2 linked regions of the Caenorhabditis elegans genome follow. Changing the gene in region 2 together with the main gene of any one other region gives a genetic interaction. Each region holds a gene or a part of one and is shown on either strand. Other genes may lie near its edges.

The links.
Region 1: of daf-8 (region 2) and sgt-1, changing one enhances a phenotype caused by changing the other (phenotypic enhancement), as found in Caenorhabditis elegans (one study listed by BioGRID).

What each region holds. Positions count from the first base shown.
Region 1 is NC_003280.10:4,901,551-4,905,730, reverse strand, and holds sgt-1 (SGTA homodimerization domain-containing protein), read left to right. Parts: upstream 1-1,934; 5' UTR 1,935-1,937; coding exon 1,938-2,094; intron 2,095-2,147; coding exon 2,148-2,836; intron 2,837-2,967; coding exon 2,968-3,135; 3' UTR 3,136-3,443; downstream 3,444-4,180. Other genes in the region: btbd-10 (BTB domain-containing protein), read right to left, coding at 345-463, 522-672; R05F9.9 (MSP domain-containing protein), read left to right, coding at 3,632-3,706, 3,758-3,841, 3,925-4,098.
Region 2 is NC_003279.8:8,583,628-8,589,033, forward strand, and holds daf-8 (Smad protein daf-8), read right to left. Parts: upstream 3,881-5,406; 5' UTR 3,863-3,880; coding exon 3,770-3,862; intron 3,210-3,769; coding exon 2,733-3,209; intron 2,536-2,732; coding exon 2,336-2,535; intron 2,132-2,335; coding exon 1,739-2,131; intron 1,616-1,738; coding exon 1,332-1,615; intron 1,123-1,331; coding exon 929-1,122; 3' UTR 797-928; downstream 1-796. UniProt on the Caenorhabditis elegans protein: Probably a receptor-regulated SMAD (R-SMAD) that is an intracellular signal transducer and transcriptional modulator activated by TGF-beta-like daf-7 signaling.

The sequences.
Region 1 (4,180 bases), on a different chromosome or scaffold from region 2:
AAGTTAATTTATTTCATAGTTTTTTTGCGAAAAAATGTTTCTTATACCAAAAATAACAATATAAACACATAAATATTAACGAATCGTGAGAAAAAGTAGAAAAAATTGATAAAAAATTCTGCAGGAGCGAGAGATTGAAAATACTGTACTTTTTAAAGGCGCACACTTGTTTGTTATCTACGAAACACTGTCGTGTCGATACCGAGAACCGCATTTACGGGTGTGCGCCTTTAAAAATTACTGTAACTTAAAACTTTTGTGGTATTTTTATCGACTTTTCATGGTTTTTATGTCTTCATATCGTTTTTTTTTGATAATTTTTATTAAAAAAACAAATATATTACCTGCTGTGGTGCACGAACAGTTCTTGTTGATGACGTGCTGGCATGATCTTTGCGAGATCTCTCGCTCTTCAGACATCCACGACTTGAAGAGGAACCGTCAGTTTCAGCCCCGGTTTTGTCTGAAAAAAATAAATTATTGATTTTTATTCAATCTGAATGAAAAATTCGAATTCTTACCATCATTATCCAGTGAAACATCAGATTCGTCAGAAGTGTTATCGAAGAGTCGTCGCGCAGGAGCATCTGGCACATTAACGCCATTATTTGCTGGGTTTCCAAAATTTGAAGATGATGGAATGTCTTTGTTCTGTTCTTCCGATTGAGACATGTTGTAGAATGGTGGAAGACGAAGAAGATGATAAGAGTGACAGTTTAATTACTGAAAATGTGCGAAATTTTATATAGTTTTATTTATTTAGGAAACAGATAGTGAAAGTTTGGGAGGAGTTGAACAGTATAAAATAAGAATGACAGGCAGAATGGCTGGGTAAATATTATTCAAATACAAGTATTTTCAAAATTCCGCAAATTTGAACAAGTTTTCATTTAAAAAACACATTTCGAACGGAAAATTTGGGTAAAAGAAAGCTTGGAACATAGTGAAAAAGGACTTTGCGAACAAATAAATTAAAATTTGCTTGATTTCAATTTGTTTTTTTCATTTTTTACAGAAACAACAAATTTCACAGCAGCGTTCTCCTGACTATCACACTTTTTTTTTGAAACAAAAACGAATAAAACAAGCTTGAAATAAAACTTTTGGTACCCAGACGTCTCTGGCCCCAAAAAATTTAAGTTGACGGGTGTCGACAGAGGGAAATGAGTGGCTTTTGGAAGGAGACCTGGGGCCACCAGTCAGCTTCTCGCTTCTTTTTTTTTCTCTAGCACTCTCTCAACTTTACAATACACTCTACGCGCTGCTGCAACTTTTCTGTCAAGTTGTCTGCCGTCTCTTCAGTTGAACTTGGTTTACTTTCGTGGCGAGACACATCAAAGTGACGGCCGACATGTGCCTTTGAGGCTGATGAAATTATTCCCGCAATTTCCAGAAATTTTTGCACTGATTCTGAAATAAAATGACGTTGCAATCTTTAATTTTACTCTTCGTTGTTCAAAAACTTTTCAATTTTATTCTCGTTACAATATTTCACTCTTCATTGACCAAATTTCGCAAATAGAGCGCTTAAATTCAGATTTTAAGTTAAGCATTTAAAATTAATACTCTTTTTTTTTAATAATAATAATAATTTATTACGCTCGCTGGGAGACGTGAAGGAATATAGAATACAAAAGTTATCATTGTTCGCTCGAACTAGAATTGGTGCAGTCGGGCAATCGTTTCCATTCCATTAGAATGTTGTCCTTGTCCTTGCGTTGTCCTTGCGTAGACTCCCCCATAGTGGGCGAGCGATTCCCGAGTGAAAATAATCACGGAATGCCATTTTTAAGCGATGCCATTTTCTATTTCTTGAACTATATATTTTTAAGAATATTTTAATCTGCGCTTTATCATGGATTTTCAATTCAACTTTATATTACTTTTCTAACTTCAATATAAAATTATTTAATAAATATATTTTTATTTTTAAGAAAATGTCCGAGGAGATCAAGCCTTCTGCTCCAGATGCGCCGACTGCTTCGCCAATTGTGACCAGAGACGAGCAAAATTTGGTTGTCTCATTCCTTCAGTTTATCCGCCAGAAGGTTTCACAAAATCAGGCCACTGCCGAGCAAGCGGAAGCTCTTGAAGGTTTTTTCCTATTTATTTCTATAAATTTAGCTTAAGATATATTAAAATTTCAGTTGCAATTCAATGTCTCGAACACTCGTTTGGTCTTGATGATGCCTCATACGCTTTCCAACCATCACGCCCAATTCTCGAACTTTTCAAGAGCGCCGAAGGACTTCCAGAGGGAGAATCTGCTCTTCCAACACCGAGCGATAGTGATATTTCTCAAGCTAACAAGCTTAAAGAAGAAGGAAACGATTTAATGAAAGCCTCCCAATTTGAAGCTGCTGTTCAAAAGTACAATGCCGCCATCAAGCTCAACAGAGATCCAGTCTACTTCTGTAACCGCGCTGCTGCTTATTGCCGCCTGGAACAATATGATTTGGCCATCCAAGATTGTCGTACAGCTCTTGCCCTTGATCCATCTTACTCAAAAGCTTGGGGAAGAATGGGTCTTGCATATTCTTGCCAAAACAGATATGAGCATGCCGCTGAGGCATACAAGAAGGCTTTGGAGCTTGAACCAAATCAAGAGAGTTACAAGAATAATTTGAAAATTGCTGAAGACAAATTGAAGGAGCTGGAAAGCTCGCGACCGGCACCAGGTGCCAATCCATTGGCTGGGCTTTTGGGAGCCATGGGAGGAGGACCGGGAGGAATGCCGGCTATGCCAGGAATGCCAAACATGCAAAACCTTATGAACGAGCCAGGACTTATGCAAGCTGCTTCACAGATGATGAGCGATCCAGCACTTTCTGATATGGTAAGTATCAAATTTTCGGGAATAAAAGATTTAATTGAAATGGCAATGCACGTGGCCGTCAAAATTAATTGTTTTTCATTATTATTGCTTGTTTTTTGATGATGTATGCTCTAAAATATTGAATTTTTCAGTTCAACAACATGATGTCTGGAAATGGATCAATCGCTGATTTGATGGCTGCTGGCCAGCAAATGGCTGCTCGCATGCAAGAGACCAATCCAGAACTTATTGAAAATCTTCGACGCCAATTCGGCCCCGGAGCCGATGGAGGAGCACCACCACCAAACCCACCACAATAGATAATCTCTTCCGCCAATCTCCTTCCGCATCACGAATTTCCATTTCGTTATCTCTCTCTCTCTCTCTTTCCCCTTCTCTCGTCTTTACTTTCTGCTCTCATGTGATTTGAAAAAGCCGAAGTCGCTTATGGTTACTCGTTTTTTTTAGTTTCTCTCGCAGAATTTCCCCTTACAATGATGATGTTATAATCGCCCCCGATTCAAGCCTTATCGAAATATTGTTTTTAATTAGATGGTCATGTTTTAACTACCAACAAAAAATTGGGTCAATTTTCTTTTTTTTCACGAATAATAAATATTGTCGAAATATTCTTTCCATCACAGACACACTGGTTGCAAACGCGCTCCAACACGAAATTATCGATTTGCACCCAAACGAAAGATAGCGCGGGAGTACTCACATTTTCTTTATTTTTGATTTTTTTGTTGAAATATTTTAGTATTAAATTAAACAATTTAAATTGTAAAAAACCTCAAATTTGAAAATAAATTCAGAATGCAACGCCACGAAAGGATTCGATTTTTCATAACTGAACAATGTCGTAATCTGGATCCAACGTATAGAAATTATGTAGGAATTTAATTTTCTGTCAATCTAAATTCTTTTAAAAGTTATTTTCAGATGTACCCGAAACAAATTCTTCTCGGTGACGTTCCTCTACCACTTCTCCCTAATTCTTCACTGACGTTTCGAGTCAATTCAGCTGTAAGTAGAAAATTTATTGCGTGACGAGCATTATTGTGTTTTAAAAACTCTAAAAATGATCAAATAAATTTAATTTTTTTTAGGAAAAAATCTGCTTCCGTATTCGACTTTCGATTGATGACAGCCAGGAACCATTGAATATTGGAATTCCATTATCACAAGTTGAAAGTGTTTCAATTAAAGATCATAGTGCGAAACATCCAGAACCTGCTCTTCTTTTTTTACTTAAGAAAGGAGCTTTAGAGAGATTTATTCAGGTACACTATAATTTTTTCGATTTTCGCACGACAAATTTTTGTAAAATGAAAGAAGGTGTGCGCCTTTGAAAAGAGTACTGTA
Region 2 (5,406 bases):
ATGAAGAGATGAAAGAGAGAAATGGGGAAAAGGACAATTAATGAAACCTGAGGTTATTGGAGTTTTACTTGTGGAGGATTCAGATCAGGCGTGGGTGGCAAACAATTATCTAATCATTTCATGGGCAAAATTGACAATTTTAAGATAAATTCCCACATAAATACCGAACAAATTTAGGGATTTTTTTGTCTAAAATCAGTTTGAAGTACTCAATTTCAGAAAATTCTTCCAAATAACGTGGCAAATTTGGCAATTGCCGCCTACGTTTGATTTAGATCTACAATTCTTAGAACCTCCTCCTTTCAACCGATCCTTTCACAAGTAAAGTGCTCCACTCTCGCAAGAAAAGGTTTTGATTTCACGCTCCAATATCAAAACGAAACTTTTTTTAAATACTAAATTACTTATTGAAAACAGATCACTGTAAAACTCTAAGCCACTTTCTGGATAAATAAAATTTCGATCTGAAACATTTTAAGCGTAACTGTGCACTACTTTCGACGGACGTAAAACTGCTCGGATAACTATTTTGATGATTTCCAAGGATTTTAGGGGGTTTATATTTAAGTGAATATCCTGGCAGCTTTTTGAAAGTGTTTTTTTTTTTGATAATATTAAATTTAATCCATCAAGCTCGATCGGAAAAAATCAGACCAAAATTACATTTCCAAGGATTCTAGAATATTTGGCTACTGTAAACACTTTTAAAGTTGACATAAGTCGTTTAAAAGCTGCAAAAAGAAATCTCGAGCAGTTCTAAAGCCCTCAAAAACAATGTAAAAATACACAGAAAAAGTTTAAAATCTAAATTTTTAAATAAAAAATTTTAAAACTCGTTTTGATGTTTTAGAGTAAAATAAAAACCTTTCTCTATCAACAAAATTGATCACACGCAAATTGGAGATTAGGATTTTGGCAAAGAAAGAAGCTAAGTTCTGGATGAACATATACGTGGTGGAGCTCCCATACAAGTGAGTACACTATCGACCCAATGCATCGGATTATTCAAATGAGCCTGAAACCAAACAGGCGATCGGAGGACGGTTGAACGACGATAGTGTTCTCCCCAACCTTTGCAGAACGAAACACGAACTGTGCACATTCGTGAGAGACAGTAGACGTCTGAAATGTTGGAAGAAAAAAAATGTAGCTGACTAGAAGGTTTGAGAATTCGTATTCTCCGAAAGTTGCATCGGTAAAAACTATACACCAAAAAATGTCAAAAACTTTTTATAAATTATTTTTAGTTGACAATTTTGATATATCGCACAATAGCCGTACTTTGGACGAAAAGTAATATGATATAATAGAAATTACTAATTCACTCTCACCTTGATATGTCTTCTCAGCTGCTGTTCTCAGCTGTTTGGAGAATAATCTCATGTCAAAAACTTTCATAGTTCCAGTTGGAGGCAACTTTGATACAGTATTCAATTGGAAACCATTCTTCATATTTGCACCGATTGACTGTACAAAAACAGGAATATTGCACAAATTCTCTACATAGACTTCACCAGCTAACAAGTAAAATCGAACACCCTTTCCAATGAGACCACGAACTTCGGCCGTTTGTGGAGAGCGGTTTGGATTGTTGTACCAACCAAGCGAGAAACGGCTGTAATGATGTTATTTTGATATTTACTTGAATTTATGTTTTAGTTCAGTGTACACTAGTGAATGTAGTTAAAATTCAGATGCGTGTAAGTTCTAGACCAGGGCTTCTGTCAATGATACAAACCTTCTGGTTTCTGAGTCAGTGCGACTAGCTGTAAATCCATCGATCAGGCAGTGATGCCCTTCTACATCGGCTTTCTCTCCAATCATCGTTCCTTCTTCATAATAAATTAATTTCAGCCAACTCGGCGACTCTTCATATTCTACACATTCATATATTCCAGCCTGTCGTGACAGATCTCCAAGTTCTAATGCCGAAGATCGATAGAGTGGTCGAGGTTCAATTGGTGTGATAGGCCGTCCATCTGCATACGTTGGCTTTCGGTTTCCATTGTTCTCTGATGAAAAATTCTCGGAATGCATGATGTCACTAACTTCGGAATCATCCATCATTTCTTGATCCAGACTTATTGTATCATTTCCGTTTGGAATAAACTCTCGAGGAGAAGCTGCATGACTGTAAATTTAAAGTTTTATAGATCTAAACTAATATTTCAATTTTTTCCAATATTCAACAGTTTCGTCGGCCCGACCGCCAAATTTAATTTTTTTTTCAACCTTTAGGTCGAATTTCGAATTCTACTTTCAGTTTAGCCAGTTCTTTAGATTGTTGAATCAGTATTGTAAAAACAAAAAAATTCCAAAAAAGTGAAATTCGTACCTAGCTGGAGATGAGAGTCCAGATCTATAATATCCGGGTTCCTCGTCGTCTTGTCGATTACTTTGTTGCAGTAACGATGCGAAAGATGATCCTAATGACATCGTGGTAGAGCTACACGGACTTCCATCAAAAGAGCCAAAATTTCCGTAATTCATATATTGAAAATCTCCGTTTTCAGCTGCATATCGATCATAGAGAAGCTGAAATTTTTATTTTTGAATGTGAGGGGGTGACAGTGGATGTTTTGTAGAAATACGTGCAAATATTTCAGTCAACGTTTTTGGTAAGTTTGCAAATTTCCAAAATTTCTAAAGAAAAAAAAAGATTAATTGCAACTTATTTACTGGATTTTGCATTTTGGAAAGAGTTCAAAAAGGGATATCATCTCTCAACAAACCTTAATTTCATCTCCTCTCATCGTCACATTTGGCACATCCCAACTTGCAACCACCTGTTCCTCTTTCAAATCCTTTTGATTCCAATCATCCAGTGCATCCTCAGTCCGAATCGGAGGTTCACCGTAATCCAATTCCTTATTTACAATAATTGGTGGAACTTGGCACGTCGGTAGTTCAACCCATCGATAATGATACGGATTCAGACAAACATTCCGACTATGGGAATTGAATGCATGTCGACACGTTAATATTGATTTCACTTGAGATTCATATCGAATAACCGGAAATCTGAATGCTCTCAAGACACACATGATAGCTCGTCCAAAGTTTCCAATGAGTTTCTCATTGTGTGCAGGACAGCATCGTGTTTTTGGATCACCTTTAATAACGGCATCGTAGAAAGCTTCAAAGCACTGGTGTTTTTTAGCTACTCTAGAGAGTAATCGGGTAACTTTGAGAGCCCAGTAGATTGTTCCCTAAAAAATAGTTGAGGATAGCTTGACACTTCAAATAGGGCAATTTTAAGGATTTGAATTTCTTAGGAAAAGTTTACTATAACAAAATTTAAAAAACAAGATATGGGCTTTTCTCTTTTCCTGTAATTTTCTCTTTATTTTTTTTTTGGATCTTTTCGAGTCTCCAACATACATTAAAACCTTTTGTCGTAAATATCCTTTCAGTTTCTTTAAGTATTACTATTTTTGAAAAAAAATTGTTTCCTGTTTTAAAAGAAAAGGCTAATTTGAGAGACACATTCTAAAATTAGAAAACGTATAAGTTAATGTTTATGTAGGTTGATTCTAAATATTTTAAAATAAAAATTCGCTAATATGTCTGGACATTTGATGTTTGATCAAGATACGGTATCTCTCAACTCTGCTCTTTTTTAAAGTTTCTTGTTCACTTACTTGCTCGCCGGCTGGCCTAGAATATGAAATTTAAAATTTGCAGATGGCTTTTTAATTTTTAAAAGTAGCCAGCGAGACTATTTGTGTTGAAAATTCAAAAAAAAAGTTTCAAATCTTCAAAAACATACATCTCCTTCAGTGATAATAGTTTCTTCTAACACTTTTTGAGCCATTGCCTCAAGTCTGGGATCAGTAGGTTCTGGTGAAGGAAAATCGTCCATTTTCGTAGTTTTAAAACTGAAATTTCGAAGAATTAAAAAAAATATGGGAGGAGATGTTAGGCTAGAATAAAATCCAAAAAAATGGGCCGAGCTTAAAAAGCAACGACCACAAAAAAGGACTGATTTGGGATAAAGAATAATAAATAGTACAGATGATTTTATATATGAAATTAATATTTTTCGTTGTGCATTGCCGAAATTCAAAAAAAATTTGAATCAGAAAACAGAATTATATCCAAAATGATAATAGAACCTTCTGGTAAGTCATAAGAGTCAGGTGAGCTACTCAAATGGGCGGAGTTTCAATATCTACATAGAAAGGCGAAATGAAAGAATTATGAAATTCAAGAACTCGGAATGAAAACTGGTATGAACGTGTAAAAAATGATAAGAAACAACAGTTTGTGATAAGATTTTTGTGTTGATCAGAATCGTCATCACCTATAAAATCAAGGAAAAATAGAGAGAGAAATGAAGAAAAATGAGAGGAAGTTTTCATTTGATTTATTCAACTTTTAAATGGATTCGAAGTTTTTTCGATATCAGGAACGCGGTTCCAAAATGATCGAAAATCTAGATATTTACCTGAATCTTGATTTTGTTTTATACAGAATTTTTCTGAACTCAATGAAGCCGATGACTCCTAATTAATTTATTCAAGTTTCGTTCATTTAGATATGACAAGGCATCACGAAGATCTCAAGACTCACCCGGCTTCTGATACGTGACCTAGAAATAGTTATAACTCGGCCAGCAATTTATCAAAAGCAAAAAAGTTGGGAGGAAAGTATAATTTCATCTTTTGAAATCGTTTCTCTTAAATTTTAGCAAATGTCCATTTTTAGAATTTCTTTGACTATTTTGAGTTTTTATTTTAAAAAAAAGTCCATTAATAGAAACTAACATAAGTACTACTAAGAAGGCGTCATATTGTTATTTTTGTTTCAGATGGATGTACGTCACTACTTTTTATTGAGGTGCTCTCATGAGGAACCAGAATAAATAAACTATTTTATAACACACTGTACCATTTCCAATTGTTTAAGAAATTAAAAAAATAGAATAGAACTCACAGAAAATCAGTTTTTTTCTGAATCTGGCGGCGAAAAAAGCCAAGATATGGACGGAACCTAATTTTGGGGTGTTCTCTAAGCAAATTTTGAACATTGATTTCGAATACTGAATGTTAGAAGAACGCCAAATTGACGGCGAATAGATTAGGAAAAAAAGGTTTTCAAAACAGTAATAATGTATTTATAAATTCTATAGAAGTATGACATTCTGAGAATATTATAGAAAAAGAGATTTCGTATTATTATTATTATCAAATCATTCTGTGAATCTTCGTATCATATGACTTACTATTAAACAACCAAAATGAGCTGAACCTAAAGCCTTGAAGACCACGAAGTGACCACAGATTAAATACTGGAGGAAGAAACAAAACAAGTAAATAATCATAACAATTTATCTATAAAATCCTTTCAAAAGTTGAAGTAAACAACATCCTTTGAGATATCATGATTAAAAAGAATGAATAATGT